4 linked regions of the Saccharomyces cerevisiae S288C genome follow. Changing the gene in region 1 together with any one later gene gives a genetic interaction. Each region holds a gene or a part of one and is shown on either strand. Other genes may lie near its edges. The genes, in order: TRM8, NCL1, SRM1 and PUS1.

Region 1 (4,699 bases):
TTAAATACATGGCAGGTGGCCATTTTAAAGTTATCAATTTTGTGAGCACCTTGAATGAATGTTCCAAAATGACTTTCTGGTTTTTGAGCATTTCCTCAGGCTTTAAGCTTCTTTTGAGCTTCTCCGCGTTTATGTTATATTGCGATATGAAATCCTCATTAAAGGCATATGTAAGTAATGTTTCACACCATTGCATTTGTATCTCGGGGGTGAATTTTGAAGAGTCAGTAATTGTCTTCTTGTACACTTGATAGAAAGCCAATGCCTCTGGTGAATAGGAAGACAGTTTGTCCTCACCACCTGAGGACCCATTATCGTCTGTCTTCGCGCTCCCAGTGGGTGGTTGGTTGATTTTTTGTGGTGGAACAGGATTATTATTCAAAGGTCGTATTGGAGCTTTTTCCTCGGTTCTGTAAACTTTTTCCTGCAGTATCCTAGATTCAGATTCCTCATAGGGTGGTGGCGCTGAGTTGTCCCTTACAGACTCTGATATTCGATTTCCACTGCTTATTGATGCATCTTGTACAGCTGGTGAACCCAAACTCTCTTTTGTAGAACTAAAATTGAAAGGAAGTTCATACCTACTACCAGTACTGTTGGTGCCATTATTGGCATATCCTATTTCACCTGTTGGCTTGGAATTAAAAATGTCCATGCCGTTATTACTATTTATGGTTACTGGAGTGCCTAATTGACCACCATCAGCATTCCCGTCTGTGAAATTCAGCGCACTCAAAGGCAGCGATAATGATGAGGAAGATGAAGGGGATGTAAAAGGAATAGCTGGTGTGAGTTCAACGATAGAGTCATCCACTGGATAGGGTGCAGGCACTATATTTTGAGCTGGCAAACCATGCCTATCCGAATTGGCATTTCCCAATTTATGCGAGGACTCCCGCGCCCTTGCTGGTGGAAACATGTTAATGTGTTTGTCATAGAGGTTAGGTTGCGGTTGGCCCTGATTAACCATTGCCTACTGTATTAAAACAAAGTATTAAAACGTGGTGGTACACTCTGTACAAAAGAATAGAAGGAAATGAAAAGAAAACGGAGTTAAAATCTACTTCATAAAAAGAGACGCTTCCAAATCCAGTCTCTACCACGTTCTTGTATATAATTTGAGCAACTCAAATTAAATTACCGGGATATCTGCTTATTCTACAAGCCATAGCATCCAGTGCTAAGGTTCATCTCAAGCCATCTTCAATACACTTGATAATTAGTCGTCAATTTTAAAATTAGGTTTCGTTCTTGAAGGCACTTAACCTAAGCTTTTTACTATATGACCTATTAAACAAGTCTTTTTCATAGTGTAACCTAACGTTTATACACTAATAACCCTAGGGCTTAGTAGAGATTCATACAGAAAAAAACGTAGAGTTATAGCAGTAAACTGAGAAAAGAAAGAAGGTTAGTACAATTGAAGAGTAAGGAAAACAAAAGCTTTAGACCTTATTGGAAGTGCTTGGGCGCGGAGTGTGATTATAAATAATGTTGCAGCTAAGGTTTATGCCTGGATGGGTCCCCAGAAATGGTTTTTTTGGTTTGAAGGAGACAATTGGTACAGTACATAAGAGATTTTATGCTCTGGCTTCTGAACAACCCTCAAGAAAGACAGTAAAGCCGCTGGACTCGAGGAAGACGTTTCTCATCGATACATACAAGCATTTAATGGAGAACAGTTCTATGATTTTTTTTGTCCATTACAATAATCTTTCCAAAACAGAAGATCACCATTTCAGATTCAAGATTAAACAGACAGGAGGGAAACTCACAAAAGTAAGAAACAACCTGTTCGAAGTCTACTTGAGAAATTCGCATCTGCCCGACCCATGTGGATTCGTGAAGCGTAAAGAGCAAAACTGGAAACATCCACTCTTGCCACTACTGAAGGGTCCTACGGCCACAATTACATACGAAGACACCAACCCTCAACAAGTAGCCAAGCTATTGAAGGTTCTGCAGTCAGCACAAGACAAGCTGATGGTGATTGGTGCAAAAGTAGAAAACGAAGTTTTGAATGTGGAAAAAATAAACACTTTTAAGACTCTCCCCACAAAGCCGGAAATGCAGTCGCAGTTAGTCAGCGTTTTGCAAATGCTAAGTGGGTTGGGTTTGGTTCGTACGTTGGAAAACAGTTCAAATGCATTGTATTTAACACTAAAATCTCACAATGACAACCAAAAACCTAAAGAGGATGTGGAGTCAACTACAGATGCAGAATCGAAGGGATCAAAGTAAAAAGAAAATGCCCGTAATTCGACAAGTTTTATAAAGGTTTTACTATTCAATCATGTACATACATCATCAAAAAATAAAAAGACAATGAAGCAATAACGGTAAATATACTTTAGTCTATGTATTGACGTCAAAATTACCTTTCTTTTACCTTTCTTACCTTTTTACATATCTCAGCGACCGTTGAAAAAAAAAAAAAATGAAAAATTTTGGTGATGACTTCAGCAAAAAATTTCAGGATATTTCTGACATTTCACTTTATTAAAGCGCCACAAAAGCTGGATTAGTATAGATTCAGCAGTTCCCATAGGATAAAATTTTCAAGCGTTTATTGTTAAGATGAAAGCCAAGCCACTAAGCCAAGATCCAGGCTCCAAGCGTTACGCATACCGTATAAATAAGGAAGAAAATCGTAAGGAGTTGAAGCATGTAAAGATCAATGAAAGTTCTTTGGTGCAAGAAGGCCAAAAGATCGACTTGCCAAAGAAGAGATATTATCGTCAAAGGGCGCATTCCAACCCATTTTCAGATCACCAGTTAGAGTACCCAGTATCTCCCCAGGATATGGATTGGTCCAAATTGTACCCTTACTACAAAAACGCGGAAAATGGACAAATGACAAAGAAGGTGACGATTGCTGATATTGGCTGTGGATTCGGTGGGTTGATGATAGATTTATCACCAGCCTTCCCTGAAGATCTTATCTTAGGGATGGAAATTCGTGTGCAGGTTACAAATTACGTGGAGGATAGAATTATTGCCTTAAGGAACAATACAGCTTCAAAACATGGATTTCAAAACATTAATGTCTTGAGAGGTAACGCTATGAAATTCTTGCCCAACTTTTTTGAAAAGGGCCAGCTTTCTAAAATGTTTTTTTGTTTCCCCGATCCTCATTTCAAACAAAGAAAGCATAAGGCAAGAATTATCACTAACACCTTGCTGAGTGAGTACGCATATGTTTTGAAAGAGGGCGGTGTCGTGTACACAATTACAGACGTCAAAGACCTGCATGAGTGGATGGTAAAACATTTAGAAGAGCATCCTTTATTTGAACGGTTGAGCAAAGAATGGGAAGAAAACGATGAATGTGTGAAAATAATGAGAAATGCCACAGAAGAAGGTAAAAAAGTGGAAAGAAAGAAGGGTGACAAGTTCGTCGCTTGTTTCACAAGATTACCAACGCCAGCCATATTGTAACATAGATGTATAACTAGAACAATTTACCACATATACATAACTATTTCTTATGTTTATTTTCCTAAAATCCTTTATCCAACTACAATCTACTAAGGCTTAAGCTATTTTCCTTTTCATTATTTAATAACTGTTCTTTCAGTTTACAGCTCCATTTATATCCGGTTAATTTTCTATTGCTACCAACGATTCTATGGCAAGGTACTAACAATGCCAGGTTATTTGAGCCGCAAGCTCTTCCGACAGATCTTGCGGCAGTTGGCTTCCCTATTCTCTTTGCAATATCACCATATGTTACGACGTGGCCGTGTTCCACGTTTAAAAGCTCATTCCAAACTTTACGTTGAAAATCTGTTCCAAACAGGAACTCAAAGGGAATAGCGCCCGATGGTAATGGCATTTTGTTTTCTAAACATATTGTATAATTTTCGATTGATTTCTTATATGTTTCTGCCTCTTTTAGTTCCTGTAAATCGTACATTGTATCCTGTTTCTCATGTTTCTTCAAGAAGCCTTCCACCTTTCCCAATAAAAAAAGCTTATCATTACCTAACGAGGCAAAAACAAGGTTTTGAGTCTTTTCCCTAAACACCAAAAATGCACCAGTCACTTCAGTTTCAATGAATGTATAGTAAAGCAGTTCCTTCATCGTTGGTCCATTTAGATCAAAAATGCGACCGTTTTCAATTTTTTTTTTGTGCATATGCTATATCATTACTTGATTAATCTTCCTTGTTTCCACCGCATTTTAAATGCCCTGCCAGGCCAATAGCGCCGTGCCTTTTTTCTAATGACTATAATAAGAATATGTATGTAGGATAAAACTAAACATTTATACTTAGGATGAAGCAAATATTTTTATGAGGCCATACTAGGCAACTGCCATGTCTCCAGGCGAATTCTGGCCTCCACCTGAACTGGGTTTATTCGCAGCAATGTTGTCGCTGATATTTGGATCGGTTCTGTTATGAAAACTGAAAAATTCTCCAGTCCTTGATGGTCCTGAATCAGATGTAATGAAATAAACATTTTGTGCAGAACCGTGTGTCTGGTTCGATAAGTTTCCGTTTTTGGGTAGAATCTGCTCATTTTGAATAGATGAATAGGCTTGATTATTTTGTTTGATACTACTTCCTAGAGTGTTTATCTGATACGCGGAAAAAGATGGTGAGGAGGAGAATTCAGAACCGGTATCGTCAAAAACATCATCATGGTTACCGCTACCGTTTCCGGTAGAATCATCATCAGAATCTAACCTTTCGTC
Region 2 (5,941 bases), on another chromosome or scaffold:
ATTTGCAAAAGTTCGGCTTCACTATCAAAGCGAAAGGTGACCTTTTTATCGTACCTTTAAGAAAGATAGGCATAAACAATACTGTGTGGCAGGAAAAGATTTGATGAAGACCAAAAACAGCATCGAAGTGCTTTGCTACGATTTCTTTTTTTACTCTCCGGTTATTTTGAGCTATCTTGTCATTATATCTTTAAATTTATATATTTCTTTGCCCAGCTTTTAAGCGTTCACTGGAATTGCCCATATGTTCACTAAATATAAAACTGATTATTCTCTCCTCTATATTGTCATCTCGGCAGAAAAGCTACTTTTAAATAAGTTTTAAACACCAGTTTTCTGCAATGATAAAAATAGCTACTTTGGATAGAGGCTGAGGCCTAACTAGTTGGAAGAAACTACTTAGGGATCCTTTGTACGGGAAACTTTTTTCCGCTGTTGTAATTGTATCATTGTCGTTGTTCATTTTTCAAATCCAGGCAATGAGGAAGTTTTGAACCAAAAAAAATAAAACCGAAAACAGAGCAACTTTAATTATAGTACGGCATATAAGGAAAACAAATCCAGAATTCAATAAAAGAATACAATACTTTCGAACACATATCTCACGCTGATAACACCCTAGCAAGTATGCTTTTCTTCTCCTTTTTCAAGACTTTAGTTGACCAAGAAGTGGTCGTAGAGGTATGTTCATAATGATTTACATCGGAATTCCCTTTGATACAAGAAAACTAACGGGTATCGTACATCAATTTTTGAAAAAAGTCAAGTACTAACGTTTGTTTACCCCTGTTTATTGTGTTTCCACTCAGTTAAAAAACGACATTGAAATAAAAGGTACACTACAATCAGTTGACCAATTTTTGAATCTGAAACTAGACAACATATCATGCACAGATGAAAAAAAATATCCACACTTGGGTTCCGTAAGGAATATTTTTATAAGAGGTTCAACAGTCAGGTACGTTTACTTGAATAAGAACATGGTAGATACGAATTTGCTACAAGACGCTACCAGAAGGGAGGTAATGACTGAAAGAAAATAAGAATTATGCAGTCTATCCTCATGGCATTTTTTCTCATTAGTTTTTTACACGAGTATCATTTTAGGATATTGAGATTATATGTATATGTATATATGTAGGCCATAAGATGATTCAACGGTTTGTATTAATTATCCGGTTCCGAGCGTTAGGAGAAATAACTTGGTGTGATATCTGTCAAGTGGTCATCCAAAATTTTTTTGGCCAGAGCGTAAGCTACGTAGACTGATGAGGAATTCTTTTTTTTTGCCCCATTTTATCCCAAGAAATTCATTATGAGGTTTTGTTTTGTTTTACTAAATGCGCTTGATGGAAAAGCGAATGTCATGAAATGCAGATCAACACTCCAATAAAAAAGTAAATGTTTTTAAAGAAGTATATCACGCTACAAAAATTCATAAGCACTATATTTCGAACGTTAACCTAAATCTCTCCCACTAAGAAAATGGATAGAAATGTATATGAAGCCTGCAGCAATATAATTAAGGAATTTGGAACACATGTAGTGAGCGCCGATGAAGTACTCGCAGAAAAAATAGATAATGCTGTTCCTATACCGTTCAAAACAAGGGAGGAGATAGATGCCGACGTGGAAAAAGATAGAAACGAAGGAGTTTTCGAAGGTAATATCATTCCTGATATCGACCTACGTGTAGTACACTACTACGCCACGCAGTTGTGTCTAAATAAGTATCCTCATTTGATTAACGCCTTTGATGAGACAAGCCTTATAACATTGGGTTTACTCATCGAAAAGTGGGTAAAAGACTATCTAACCAGCATCCAGACAGAACAGGGAAGGCAAAGTAAGGTAATCGGGAAGGGGCCATGCGAATTCATATCAAAACATATTGATTATAGGCATGCGCCAGGTAATATCTGAATGTAGCAAAAACCTGGCTTTTGCGGCTGGGGAGGATGGAAGGCTTTTGTAGGCTATTATCTACTCGAGGAAGGAACGTTAGAATATCTCCATTTTTCACGCAAAATGTGGTTCTGAGTTAATGCGTGTGCTGAAGCATAACATGAGTTATTCCCTGTATGTATGTACAGTATTTCAATTTCGCAGACCGTGGGTTACATATGTGAGCGATTAGGAAGTAGTGAAGTAATTATGGCAAGTCTAGAGGTCCGGCTGATCCCTTGCGGTGCTGAAGTAACGAAACCGCGCGCATATCTTTTGGAAGAGATTAATTTGCACTGAATTTTCAAACTTAATTAGCGAGAAGAAGTAGATGCATTTCAATTATGCCAAAAGCAGTATTTATTACTTCTTATAGAATATAGTATCACTTACGCTCATTTAGTGTACCCACTTACGTATTAAATGACGTACTTTTTTTTTGTCCTCTTCTGTAGCTTTTTTTCACTTTGAAAAATTTAGCGCTGAGTTCTTCCAAAGACGTCAAATCACCTACTATAGTTAAAAACATATTACTTATACTAGTTCTAACACTTCCTTTTATCTACACTGTAATCCGAAGAATACACTATAAGGATGGCTAGAAGAAAGAATTTCAAAAAAGGGAACAAGAAGACTTTTGGTGCTCGTGATGACTCGAGAGCTCAAAAAAACTGGTCTGAACTGGTAAAGGAAAATGAAAAATGGGAAAAATACTATAAGACTTTAGCTCTTTTCCCAGAAGATCAATGGGAAGAATTTAAAAAGACATGTCAAGCTCCACTTCCTCTAACTTTTAGAATTACAGGTTCTAGAAAGCATGCCGGTGAGGTCCTGAATTTGTTTAAAGAAAGACATCTACCAAACTTGACTAATGTTGAGTTTGAAGGTGAGAAGATTAAGGCCCCTGTAGAATTACCTTGGTATCCAGACCATCTTGCTTGGCAATTGGACGTTCCTAAGACGGTTATTAGAAAGAATGAACAATTCGCAAAAACTCAGAGATTTTTAGTTGTTGAAAATGCCGTTGGTAATATCTCAAGACAAGAAGCCGTTTCAATGATTCCTCCAATCGTTCTAGAAGTAAAACCTCATCACACTGTTTTAGATATGTGTGCTGCTCCTGGCTCCAAAACTGCTCAATTAATCGAAGCCTTGCACAAGGATACAGATGAACCATCTGGTTTCGTTGTAGCTAATGATGCCGATGCCAGAAGATCTCATATGTTGGTTCACCAATTGAAGAGATTGAACAGTGCCAACTTGATGGTTGTCAACCATGACGCCCAATTCTTCCCACGTATCAGATTACATGGCAACTCAAATAACAAGAATGATGTTTTAAAATTTGACAGAATCCTGTGTGACGTTCCATGTTCTGGTGATGGTACCATGAGGAAAAATGTTAATGTTTGGAAAGACTGGAACACACAAGCAGGTCTTGGTTTGCATGCTGTTCAGCTGAATATATTAAACAGGGGTTTGCATCTTCTAAAGAACAACGGTAGATTGGTTTACTCAACCTGTTCTTTAAATCCTATTGAAAATGAAGCGGTTGTTGCCGAAGCGTTAAGAAAGTGGGGTGACAAGATTAGATTAGTTAACTGTGATGATAAGCTTCCTGGCCTAATAAGATCCAAGGGTGTATCCAAATGGCCTGTCTATGACAGAAATTTGACTGAGAAAACCAAAGGAGACGAAGGTACACTAGATAGTTTCTTTTCACCATCTGAAGAAGAGGCATCGAAATTCAATTTACAAAATTGTATGAGGGTTTATCCTCACCAACAAAACACAGGCGGATTTTTCATTACTGTTTTCGAAAAAGTCGAAGATAGCACTGAGGCGGCTACAGAGAAACTATCTTCTGAAACCCCAGCTCTAGAGTCTGAAGGACCTCAAACAAAGAAAATAAAGGTAGAAGAAGTCCAAAAGAAAGAAAGACTACCACGTGACGCGAACGAAGAGCCTTTTGTTTTCGTTGATCCACAGCACGAAGCTTTAAAAGTTTGTTGGGATTTCTACGGCATCGATAATATTTTCGACAGAAACACTTGTTTAGTGCGTAACGCCACTGGTGAACCAACAAGAGTGGTTTACACTGTGTGTCCAGCATTGAAGGATGTTATTCAAGCGAATGACGATAGGTTGAAGATTATTTATTCTGGTGTAAAATTGTTTGTCTCTCAAAGAAGTGATATCGAATGTTCATGGAGAATCCAAAGTGAATCATTGCCAATAATGAAACACCATATGAAATCTAATAGAATTGTTGAAGCTAATTTAGAGATGTTAAAACACTTGTTAATCGAATCTTTCCCTAACTTTGACGACATTCGTTCGAAGAACATCGATAATGATTTTGTTGAAAAGATGACAAAATTAAGCTCTGGTTGCGCCTTTATTGATGTGTCAAGAAATGACCCTGCCAAAGAAAACTTATTCTTGCCTGTGTGGAAAGGCAACAAGTGTATCAATTTGATGGTTTGTAAAGAAGATACTCATGAGCTATTATATAGGATCTTTGGTATTGATGCGAATGCCAAGGCTACTCCAAGCGCTGAAGAAAAAGAAAAAGAAAAAGAAACGACTGAATCTCCCGCAGAAACTACTACCGGAACCTCTACTGAAGCTCCTAGCGCTGCTAATTGATAGTTATCATGTTTCTTATCCCCTCCACTGTAAAGTAAATGTATATTATTAAAAGGCAAAAATAAGAATATAATACTTCAGTAATGAGCCTTTTTTATTCGGTCTTGTTACTTCTTTTTTACTTCATTTTTTTTTTTTTTTTTGGATAGTAAATAATGCACTTTTGACTAGATCTTGAGTATTTAGTTGAATTGAAATTAAAGATACAGTGTATAAAAATTATACAAAAAATAAAGGAAACTTGTATATTGAAAATAGGATTGCCAATACATGGATTGAGACAGAGAATTTTTTATCTTCATATCCAGATATTCGTAGGAATAACAAAGTTTTAGTGACCCAAGGTATAAATTGCGAAAGACCTGCGGAGTTGGCGGCGAACACTGACTTTTTGGGCATCAACAAAGGAATCAACTACAACTTTGATAGCTCTATCCAAATCATAAGAAGACACAAATTCAGATAATCTCATTTTAGCAAAAGATTCTGCAATTCTTAGAATAGATTCTAAATGACGAACTGTGATTGGAAACGAACCTGTAGAAATACTTTCTCTTCTCAAATCCGCATATACCCTGCTAACCTTATCCATATCCATCTGATGCAATTTAGGGTATATTTTTGTCCTCGCATAGTGAATATATTTCATCAATAATTCCTGTGGAATAGGCGAGATCTCTTCCTCCTTCTTCCTTTGTCTTTGAAGTCTTCTTTGCCTTGCATTAAGCTGCTCATTTATTTCATCTTCTCCTTGTTCTATCGCCGATTCGCCATTATTTTTAAGCTCTTCGCCTTCTCGATCTTCATCGTTTTCTGGATGAGATCTTACATGAGAATCGACAACAAATGTGGCCAATCTTTCGTCTGCCTCTTCATCAACAAGGTCTCTGACAACACATAAAATATCAAATCTAGACAGAATAGGCTCGGTCAAACTAACATTCTGAGCTAAAGGCAAGGTTGAATTATATCTACCACCATTAGGATTTGCCGCAGCAATAATTGAGCAGCGCGCTTGTAATGTAGTAACAATACCGGCCTTGGAAATGGAAATACTTTGCTGTTCCATAGCCTCATGAATAGATGTACGATCCTGATCGTTCATCTTATCGAATTCATCAATTAAACAAACACCCTTATCAGCCAATACTAGCGCCCCCCCTTCTAAGGTCCATTCTTTAGTAATAGGATCTTTTCTGACGGATGCTGTCAGACCGACAGCCGAAGCACCCTGACCAGTTGCAAAGACCGCTCTATGCGCTGTTTTCTCGACGTATTTTAAGATTTGAGATTTGGCAGTACCTGGATCACCTAATAATAACACATTGATATCACCACGAATAGAATG
Region 3 (5,316 bases), on another chromosome or scaffold:
TAATATCAAATAGACGATATGTTAAAGTTTCATTCTAACAATTACCACCCATTCCAAAATATCTATTGTTAGAGAGGCGTTAATAGAACAACACAACACAAAAATACTGAAGGTCAAAGTTTGTTGTATTACGGGCTCGAGTAATACCGGAGTGTCTTGACAATCCTAATATAAACGGTCTTAGGGAAGTAACCAGTTGTCAAAACAGTTTATCAGATTAATTCACGGAATGTTACTTATCTTATATATTATATAAAATATGAATCATATTAAGTGGTGGAAGCGCGGAATCTCGGATCTAAACTAATTGTTCAGGCATTTATACTTTTGGTAGTTCAGCTAGGGAAGGACGGGTTTTATCTCATGTTGTTCGTTTTGTTATAAGGTTGTTTCATATGTGTTTTATGAACGTTTAGGATGACGTATTGTCATACTGACATATCTCATTTTGAGATACAACAAAGTTCATAAAGAAATTAGCCATCTTAGTATAGTGGTTAGTACACATCGTTGTGGCCGATGAAACCCTGGTTCGATTCTAGGAGATGGCATTTTTTCCGAAATTTCGCCTTCTCGCACAACTTTCCAAACCCGACCAAGAGAAGGAAGAAATCATTTTTTTTGTTGCGAGTTGTCATAGAACGAGGTCGAGAAACAGAAGAGGAATTGAAAATGAATTGTAAAAGCGTTCGTTCTATGCCTCTAATAAGAGAGTACGTCTTGCTTGATGTGAACCCAAATGCCCACAAAACAGTACGATTTGCAGTTATGTAAATTTGTGGTTTGTCTCCTGGCAAAAAGAATGCATTCGTACTGCACATAATTGAAATAAGGATGTAGTTCAACTTCTATGAATGCTCGGCGATACGATATGTAGAGGGGACAAAAATATGTAGGTATCCTATGGTAAATAAATCGGTCTGTTTTAAAACCTGTTTTAGTGCAGCTTCTTTCCACGAAAGAAATAGTGTAAGTTAGAGGTACTTCTCTTTTACCTAAAGGAGGTGTAGTTATGATAAAAAGCGAAGCTAACTAAGACAGCTAAGCTCTTTATGTTGATAGTTAAAAGTTAACAGGTTGTATTAATGAAGAATGAATATGGATCTTTTTGTACTTATATAACAGAGGTATAAACCACATGCCGATTGTTTCATTATTATATATGGCTAATATAATGGTGATTCCGGCAGCTTCATACATTTAATGTGACGACTCATATTGCTCTTATATGTGACTTTCAGATCTCATTCAATTAATAGACTCTTAACTCAAATTCAGTACTTTCTGACATGCTCATTTACATTTCCTTTTGTAATAGTGCTTCCATACTTCATCGTATAGGATTTAAACATTTAGATCGTTACCATAGTAACTCATGTTACTATTAAATACCGCTCGTTTCAACACATTATATAATACTTTGGCATTGATACGCCACATAATATTCTAATTTCTCTTCAACACATAAGACAAACAGGGCAAATCAAGCAACAGGAAGGTATTTGCTTCTTAATGGCAAAACAGGTTCAGTTCCACTAAATAAAAAGGGGAAATTTACGTGTCATTTATTATGGGTTCAGAAATTATGTGTTAAGTAAAACACCTATAGCACTGGGGCAAATTCCGGCATCAATTTCAACGCCACCAAAATTGTGTGCGATAATAATTGTGACCCCATCATGGAAATGAGCCTTCAGCCAGAGACGGAAAAACTCTTGAAAGGAATACTGATGGATTTATAGGTTCGGAAAATAATAATAATAAAAAGCCGTGTTGGACATTATCCCTCCCGTTGCTCGCGGTAAATTCTTAAGGCCATATTTCAGGTAGGAACCATCGTCAACAATTGCTACAACGTTTTGTAGTCCCCAAGATTGAAATACAATAGCAGTTGAAAGAGAACTACCTAAGATAATTCAATGAGGCAATTACTGATTATTCCTGACAGAGTGTAAAATATTTGCAAGTAAGAGAATCGGAACAGAAAATTTAGATATTATGAGAGTCTTCCCTCGGCAGTAACGATATAAAGCCAATCTGTATTCCAGTGTCCTGCCATTCTGGTTCTTTAAAAACTCACTTCCAAGATAGTATAATCCGAGACTCTAAAGAAAAGGACACTTGCTTTTAATGGACAGAGGAACACCGCATACTCTAAAGTAGAGAGCACCGATATCAAGAGTTACATATATATATATATATATATTGTTTGCTTCCGACAGAGATAGCTATCTAGCAATTCCCTTCTTTTTCAATCGTTGGGCGGCTAAAAGTAGCAGGGTTTCGCGAGGACCTCTCGAAGGACAAACAATATTCATTACCCGCACAAATAAAATTTCAAAAAAACAAAAAAGCACGGGAGAGGCAAGGCAGGATGAATAAAATCACCGATCTCGAGAATATTAAAAGTCATCAAGACATCCTCTTTAAGTCAAATCCTGGATCCAGAAACTTAAAAAGTTGTCATATAAAAGTTTAAAATGGTCAAAAGAACAGTCGCCACCAATGGAGACGCGTCTGGCGCTCATAGAGCAAAGAAAATGTCTAAAACTCATGCTTCTCATATCATAAACGCTCAAGAAGACTACAAGCATATGTACTTAAGTGTCCAACCATTGGATATATTTTGCTGGGGTACTGGTTCTATGTGTGAGCTTGGGTTGGGTCCACTAGCCAAAAATAAGGAAGTTAAAAGACCAAGGTTAAACCCATTTTTACCTCGCGATGAGGCCAAGATCATTTCTTTTGCAGTCGGTGGTATGCACACCTTAGCCCTTGATGAAGAAAGCAATGTATGGTCCTGGGGTTGCAATGACGTGGGTGCGTTGGGCAGAGATACTTCCAACGCCAAGGAACAACTCAAGGACATGGACGCCGATGACTCAAGTGATGACGAAGATGGTGATTTGAACGAATTGGAATCTACGCCCGCTAAAATCCCAAGAGAGTCATTTCCTCCCTTAGCGGAGGGACACAAGGTCGTGCAATTGGCAGCTACAGACAATATGAGTTGCGCCCTGTTCAGCAATGGCGAGGTATACGCATGGGGTACTTTCCGTTGCAATGAAGGTATCCTAGGGTTTTACCAAGATAAAATTAAAATTCAAAAAACTCCATGGAAAGTGCCTACATTCTCTAAGTACAATATTGTCCAATTAGCTCCCGGTAAGGATCACATACTTTTCTTAGATGAAGAGGGTATGGTGTTCGCCTGGGGTAACGGTCAGCAAAACCAATTAGGAAGAAAAGTTATGGAAAGGTTCCGTTTAAAGACTTTGGATCCCAGACCATTTGGGTTAAGACATGTAAAATACATCGCATCTGGCGAAAACCATTGCTTTGCTTTAACAAAAGACAACAAGTTAGTAAGCTGGGGGTTGAATCAGTTTGGTCAATGTGGTGTTTCAGAGGATGTGGAAGACGGTGCGCTTGTTACAAAGCCAAAAAGACTAGCGCTACCTGATAACGTTGTTATCAGAAGCATTGCTGCTGGTGAACATCACTCATTGATCCTATCCCAAGATGGCGATTTGTATTCGTGTGGTAGACTAGACATGTTTGAAGTTGGTATCCCAAAAGACAATTTACCCGAATATACTTACAAAGATGTTCATGGAAAAGCACGTGCCGTGCCACTTCCAACTAAGTTGAATAATGTTCCGAAGTTCAAAAGCGTTGCGGCGGGGTCTCACCATTCAGTCGCGGTAGCTCAAAATGGCATTGCCTATTCTTGGGGTTTTGGTGAAACCTACGCCGTTGGATTAGGCCCTTTTGAGGACGACACTGAAGTTCCAACCAGAATCAAGAATACTGCTACACAGGATCATAACATCATTTTAGTCGGGTGTGGAGGCCAATTTTCCGTGTCTGGTGGTGTTAAGCTGTCTGATGAGGACGCAGAAAAGAGAGCGGATGAAATGGATGATTAAGGTAGTAGTACAAAGATAAATAAAAGAAAATCGACATAATGCACCTCAGTATAAATTGTAAAATATAACATAAATCAAAGAAAAACGAGAAAACGATATGATTATCCGATACCGACAAATTCTCATGTTTATTTTTTTTTTTTTTTTTTTTTTTTTTTAATTTTTCTTGGGCCTTTACATTGAGTACAGGGGCATAAGTGCGAGGAGTTACCAGACGACAACTAGCAGGCGGATGAAATCAACACTGAGTAAGTATTATGTAATCCATCCGCTCGTCCAGCCCTTCAGGTTCTTCCTCTTCTGCACGTTTCTCTAGTAATGAACTTTCTAAGGAATTTAATCGGATTTTTTGAGAAAAACGGAGAAAAATTAAAAATGTGCCAAGACACCAGCAACAGGCAAAGCAAAGGATAAACTTCCGGTGAACATGTTAGCACGGAAAAATTCATTGCTCTCTCTAACCGCGACAAATTACCTATCGTATTTTAACTTTCTTCAACAGCATTATGGAAAATGCATACCGGAGATTGCTCATACAGACCATAAAAACAACAGAAAGTCTTGTGAGGAAGATAAGCAAGCACGGTAGGTAAACCAGATATGCACATAAATTACCGCTGACTCTCCCCTAAAAGAACTATATTGATGGTCTGACATATAAGGCACCGCTGAAAAGCATGTACAATTTTAATGTCTTTGCATTTGCATAGTCAGTGTGGCGTGCATTCTCCACAGAATCTAACTAATCAAATGTATCGTGACTGGGTGTTGCATCATTTTCGCGAATAAAAAATAGAACACTGTAGAGTAGCGCAGCGCTTTTTTTTTATTGAGGCCCTTTGCAGAACCAAGGCTGCAGTCTTTTCTCTGAAGATTAGCTTTGCTAATATAAACAAATCCGTTAAGTTCTTGGGAATTTCTTTGAAGGGGGGGAGGCGGAAATGTAGTGAGTTGTTTTTACTGTGATTTGCTTTTTCTTTCGCTCATGGCTTATTTTCCTTTCCTTTTCTTCCCACATTCAATAATGCAGCGTAAATATAGAACAAGATTACTTGTTTATACGAGATATACGGGCAGTGAATAAAGTGGTACTAGAACTAATTATCAAAAAGAGTAACTGTCATTCAACATTTCTGGCTCTAGACCCAATAGGACATAAACTTTTAGATTTTTGAAAAATGGCTTGGCGCAGCACGGTAATACTAGTTGGTTTTTTAAGCCTACTTTCGCCAATAAAAAAAACTACGAAACAGTTCTTACTTACCAATATCCCCTGCCACTACACTGTACTTTAGTGAACCCAACATCACGAATAAGAAACAATAAACAATAAACAATAAACAAGTGTTGCTTTAGCTCAACTTGCCCCTGAGAAATAACAGCGCAA
Region 4 (4,536 bases), on another chromosome or scaffold:
TGAAATAAACCTTATCTATCTTTTTTTTGTTCCTGGTTTTCAAAGTTGATTTTCGACAGACCCTAGTTAATTATAGGAAAAAGCCCTATTAGTCTTTTTCTTATCATAGATGACATTTACTTATATTAGGCCAATCGCATACTCTGCATCCAACAAGCCTTCAACAGGTCGAAGTGAAACTACAGGACTTGGAAAATATCAGTTTTTATAAGCAATAATGAAGTTCACCCCTAGCATAGTTATTGATGCTCCGCAATATTATGTTGATCATTTTAATGGCAAGTATAACGTGGATAAATGTGTTATTTTAAGAGACCTGCAGCTAGAAACGGATTCAGAATCCATGCCATCCAGCTTAAAGCATTTGACCAAACCTACGCACATCTTGGATTTGACAAACAATGACCTTATCATGATTCCAGATCTATCAAGAAGAGACGATATACATACATTACTGTTGGGCCGAAACAATATCGTTGAAGTAGACGGTCGCCTATTGCCTATGAATGTACAGAACCTTACATTATCGAATAACAGCATAAGAAGGTTTGAAGATCTTCAAAGGTTGCGTAGAGCGCCCAGGACGTTGAAGAATCTAACTTTAATAGGGAATCAAGTATGTCATTTAGCCAATTATAGAGAACATGTACTTCGATTAGTACCGCATTTAGAGACTTTAGACTTTCAAAACGTAACAGCTGAGGAAAGAAAGAGCGCAATGAGCTTTCCAAGGCAGGCGGACGGCGATACGTTGGGCCCAGTAAATACTGCAATAAGAGATAATGGATCCAGAGATAAAACGATGGAGATCATGAATTTGGTGGTGAGTAAGATGACAGTAGAGAGAAGAAATGAATTGAAAAAGCAGTTAGCAGAAGCTACTTCTTTAGAAGAGATTGCCAGGCTGGAAAAACTACTCTCTGGTGGTGTTTAATCTTTTGGTTAGTGCGACTGTTCAATGACTTAAAAAAAAAGAATTATAAATTATTCTGTGCCATTATATAATAATATATAAAACGAAAACAAATAATGGTGCTCTATAAACATTAGAGGACAATGTCAATTTCAATGTCAATGCCTTAGAAATTAAAGTTGGTAAGAAAGAAGGAAAGGGCAACCTAATTAGCTGCCGCTTCCGGTTGTACTTCAGGTTCGTTGCTCTGAGTGGTGCTGGATATTTCAGCCTTTTTACTAGCAGCTTCCTCCTCTTCCATTCTTTTTCTTTGCTTAATCTTCTTATTGCTCTCGGGCGCATCAGTAAGACCTGGGATACCCTTAGCTGTCAAGAATTCGAAGATACTCTTTTGCACAGCAGGTCCCGATTTATCGGCAGTTTCTTCTCCCTGTGCTCCAGTAACCTTGTTGAAACTATCAATATAACTAAAGAACGCATTAAAAACATTTTCGTCCACCTCTTCCTTGTAGATCTTATCGTAGATATGCTTCATTTTGAACTTATCCACTTCGTCTTGATATTTGGAAAAATCGATCGCCTTGTAACCAAACTGTTCTAGTCTTTTATTATAACCTTCAAATACTGGAGCTTCTAACAATAATCCTAATGCAGGTGCCTTCGGAATATTAATCTTCTGCTGTCCGTAAGCCTGACTAATGCGTTCGACGGGGCAACCACAACGGGTAATTAAGGTTGCCATTGATACCATCTTACGAATTTGATGTAGCATGAAAGACTGGCCGTGAATCTTGATGGAAATCCATTCTGTTTGGGCATCGCCAATAACAAATGGATCAGATACTTTTATATCTTTCATAAATCGAATGGCACTTGGTTCTTTGAAGTCCTTGCCTAATGTAAAATTATGGAAGTTATGAGCGCCAAGGTATTGACTTGTAGAAGCACGGAATTTGGCCAGTTTTGCCGCGGATATACGATATCTTCTACGGTGAGCATTTTCTAATTGCTTGTACTTTTTTACCTTCTGGTATAGTTCTTCATTTATATCAAATTCATCTCTTGCGGGCGGAACATATGCTAATATAGCTTCGATTTCTTCTGTTGAAAATTTTTCATTCGCATCTTTTTTAAACTCTTCCCAAAATTCTTTGGATTCCAAATCTTCATCTAATACACCAGGTAATTCTGTTTTACTTTCTTCGATGTCTCTATAAAGTATAGAACCAGGTTTGGGGCCAATGAGTGAATAAGTTGGTAATAAGTATTCGTACCAACGTGAACTGCACATTTTTCTACAATCAAACGCCTTGTTCACACGCTCGATATCCCATACCCTTATCCCTTCCGGTAACTTTTCGTTGATCTTCTGCTTGATATCAGGATCTTCAATAATCATTTTCAATGATATTAAATTACCTCCAGCATGGACACCCTTATCAGTTCTTGCAGCTCTCATGAATCCATTCTTTTTCAAATCGTTGGAGTTGTCCTTGGAAATAGCACCTGCTTCAACAAATGCTTTGAATAGGGCAGACTCGATGGTTGGATTTGGTGGATTATATTGCATACCATGGTAGCCAGTACCACAGTAACCAACCATAACAGCCACCTTTCTCTTTGGGAGACGAGGCTCCTTGGGAAGTGGATTGCCATTTTCATCCAAACGAGGACCGCTTTTTGGTCTTTTATCTATGTGTTTGTCATTATCCTTTTTTTTGTCCTTTTCATCGTCGAAGTCTGCCTTACGAGCTTTGGTCAATTTGCTCTGAGCGCCTCTCTTGTAGACATCCTCATTAACTTGATCGTCATAGGCAGGCCTCAAATTCTCTTCAGACATCCTTGATATCACTTATAATTGTTATTTACTAGCACTTTATTGTCCTTTATTATTTTTTTAGTACTTCTTGTATTTCAAATTTCTCGAACTATAGCGATGACTAAAAGTGAAAAATTTCAAAGCCAAAAGAAAAAAAAAAAAAGAAAATATTATTTCAGCGGCTAATAGTTACCCGCATCAAAATAATATATCTCTGTACGGTAATGAAAATTTTTGAAATATGCGATGAGCTTAGAACTAAAGTAAGCAATGTATTATTGAGGTAATTGACGGTTTAGTGATTGGATCGTATTCTAGATTTCCGAGTAGTAGAACCATTGAGGGAAACTATAGTTAGGTGCAATAATGAGACAGCTAACAGAAGAAGAGACCAAGGTTGTTTTCGAAAAACTCGCCGGCTATATTGGTAGAAATATTTCTTTTTTAGTGGATAATAAAGAACTTCCTCATGTCTTCAGATTACAAAAGGATAGAGTATATTACGTACCCGATCATGTTGCAAAATTGGCTACTAGTGTAGCAAGACCTAACTTGATGTCTCTGGGTATTTGTTTAGGTAAATTCACGAAAACTGGAAAATTCAGGTTACATATTACTTCTTTGACAGTATTGGCTAAGCATGCCAAATATAAGATATGGATTAAACCTAATGGGGAGATGCCATTCTTATACGGTAATCATGTGTTAAAGGCACATGTGGGTAAAATGTCTGATGATATACCAGAACACGCCGGTGTTATTGTGTTTGCAATGAATGATGTGCCATTAGGGTTCGGTGTCAGTGCGAAAAGTACTTCTGAGTCAAGAAACATGCAACCCACTGGTATAGTTGCTTTCAGACAAGCAGATATTGGTGAGTATTTGAGAGATGAAGACACCTTGTTTACTTAGTGGGAAGGACTGATGATGAATTCCCGTGTACATTTCACTTACAGCTTGCGTTATCTCTCACAATGTATTTTTTTCTGTATAATAAAGAATCATATAATTAGCGCTTAAAAGGAAAGAGTTGTTCGATAAAATGGGGAGCCTAACCCCTCGATGACCTTTCTTTTGAATTAGTCGAGTTCCATTTCATATACAATATTACATAACTTGACAACATTTGAGGATTACTAATGACAAAAATCTTTATACGCTCTATTTACGGCCCTTCTTCTTGTTCTTAGGCTTTTTATTAACAGTGGGCTTCCCTTTCTTTGATATGTCAAGGGCCTGTTCTGATTTTTTGTTCATAGCACCACCTTGAGTTTGTTTTGCACCTTGTTGTTTTTTCTTTGGCCTATAAGTAGACCTGTCTCTTAATGGCAGCCACCTTTCAGGATCAGGTAATTTGGAGGTGTCGCGACCTTGTAAAAATTTTTCGAGGCGTTTAATCTTTCTTTTCTTCTTTAGCTCTAAAACTTTTCTCTTTTGAACTTTGCTAACTGCGGTGTTTTTACTTCTCTTTGCTGACGATTCTAAGGGTTTCACACCAAGTTGAATTAATTTATCAATATCAATATCTCTCACTAGATCTATACCTTGTGCTATATCCAAAGAATCTGACGAAACAACTCTGTCAACAAGGACATCTGCATCGCCTTTACTAAAGTTTGAAATCTCTCTGAGTAAAGCCTTCGATTCTTTAGCATTACCCATGGACAATAATTCAAACCCGACGTGTTTCCAAAATGGTATGTTTTCTTGGATTTTTCCGCTCAATTGGACTCTCACGGAGCCTAATTTTTTAAGCAGAACACTTTTGGAGTTGTTTCTTCCCTTAATCTTGTATAATTCAAAT

The links.
Region 2: mutations in TRM8 (region 1) and NCL1 are lethal when combined (synthetic lethality), as found in Saccharomyces cerevisiae (4 studies listed by BioGRID, with this or other methods).
Region 3: mutations in TRM8 (region 1) and SRM1 together harm fitness more than expected from each alone (negative genetic interaction), as found in Saccharomyces cerevisiae (2 studies listed by BioGRID).
Region 4: mutations in TRM8 (region 1) and PUS1 together harm fitness more than expected from each alone (negative genetic interaction), as found in Saccharomyces cerevisiae (3 studies listed by BioGRID, with this or other methods).

Annotation. Positions count from the first base shown.
Region 1 is NC_001136.10:96,984-101,682, forward strand, and holds TRM8 (tRNA (guanine46-N7)-methyltransferase), read left to right. Parts: upstream 1-2,577; coding exon 2,578-3,438; downstream 3,439-4,699. Other genes in the region: ACK1 (Ack1p), read right to left, coding at 1-970; mitochondrial 54S ribosomal protein uL10m MRPL11, read left to right, coding at 1,492-2,241; MGT1 (methylated-DNA--protein-cysteine methyltransferase), read right to left, coding at 3,518-4,084; YDL199C (uncharacterized protein), read right to left, coding at 4,307-4,699. UniProt on the Saccharomyces cerevisiae protein: Methyltransferase that catalyzes the formation of N(7)-methylguanine at position 46 (m7G46) in tRNA, a modification required to maintain stability of tRNAs; its absence resulting in tRNA decay.
Region 2 is NC_001134.8:169,996-175,936, forward strand, and holds NCL1 (tRNA (cytosine-C5-)-methyltransferase), read left to right. Parts: upstream 1-2,538; coding exon 2,539-4,593; downstream 4,594-5,941. Other genes in the region: Sm-like protein LSM2, read left to right, coding at 628-681, 810-1,043; RRN10 (Rrn10p), read left to right, coding at 1,486-1,923; MCM DNA helicase complex subunit MCM2, read right to left, coding at 4,925-5,941. UniProt on the Saccharomyces cerevisiae protein: Methylates cytosine to m5C at several positions in different tRNAs and pre-tRNAs containing intron. Able to modify tRNAs at all four positions (34, 40, 48 and 49) at which m5C has been found in tRNAs.
Region 3 is NC_001139.9:319,302-324,617, forward strand, and holds SRM1 (Ran guanyl-nucleotide exchange factor), read left to right. Parts: upstream 1-2,480; coding exon 2,481-3,929; downstream 3,930-5,316. UniProt on the Saccharomyces cerevisiae protein: Guanine nucleotide exchange factor that promotes the exchange of GSP1/GSP2-bound GDP by GTP and controls RNA metabolism and transport. Involved in yeast pheromone response pathway and in mRNA metabolism.
Region 4 is NC_001148.4:150,397-154,932, forward strand, and holds PUS1 (pseudouridine synthase PUS1), read right to left. Parts: upstream 2,754-4,536; coding exon 1,119-2,753; downstream 1-1,118. Other genes in the region: U2 snRNP complex subunit LEA1, read left to right, coding at 218-934; ribosome biosynthesis protein NIP7, read left to right, coding at 3,099-3,644; signal recognition particle subunit SRP72, read right to left, coding at 3,894-4,536. UniProt on the Saccharomyces cerevisiae protein: Formation of pseudouridine at positions 27 and 28 in the anticodon stem and loop of transfer RNAs; at positions 34 and 36 of intron-containing precursor tRNA(Ile) and at position 35 in the intron-containing tRNA(Tyr).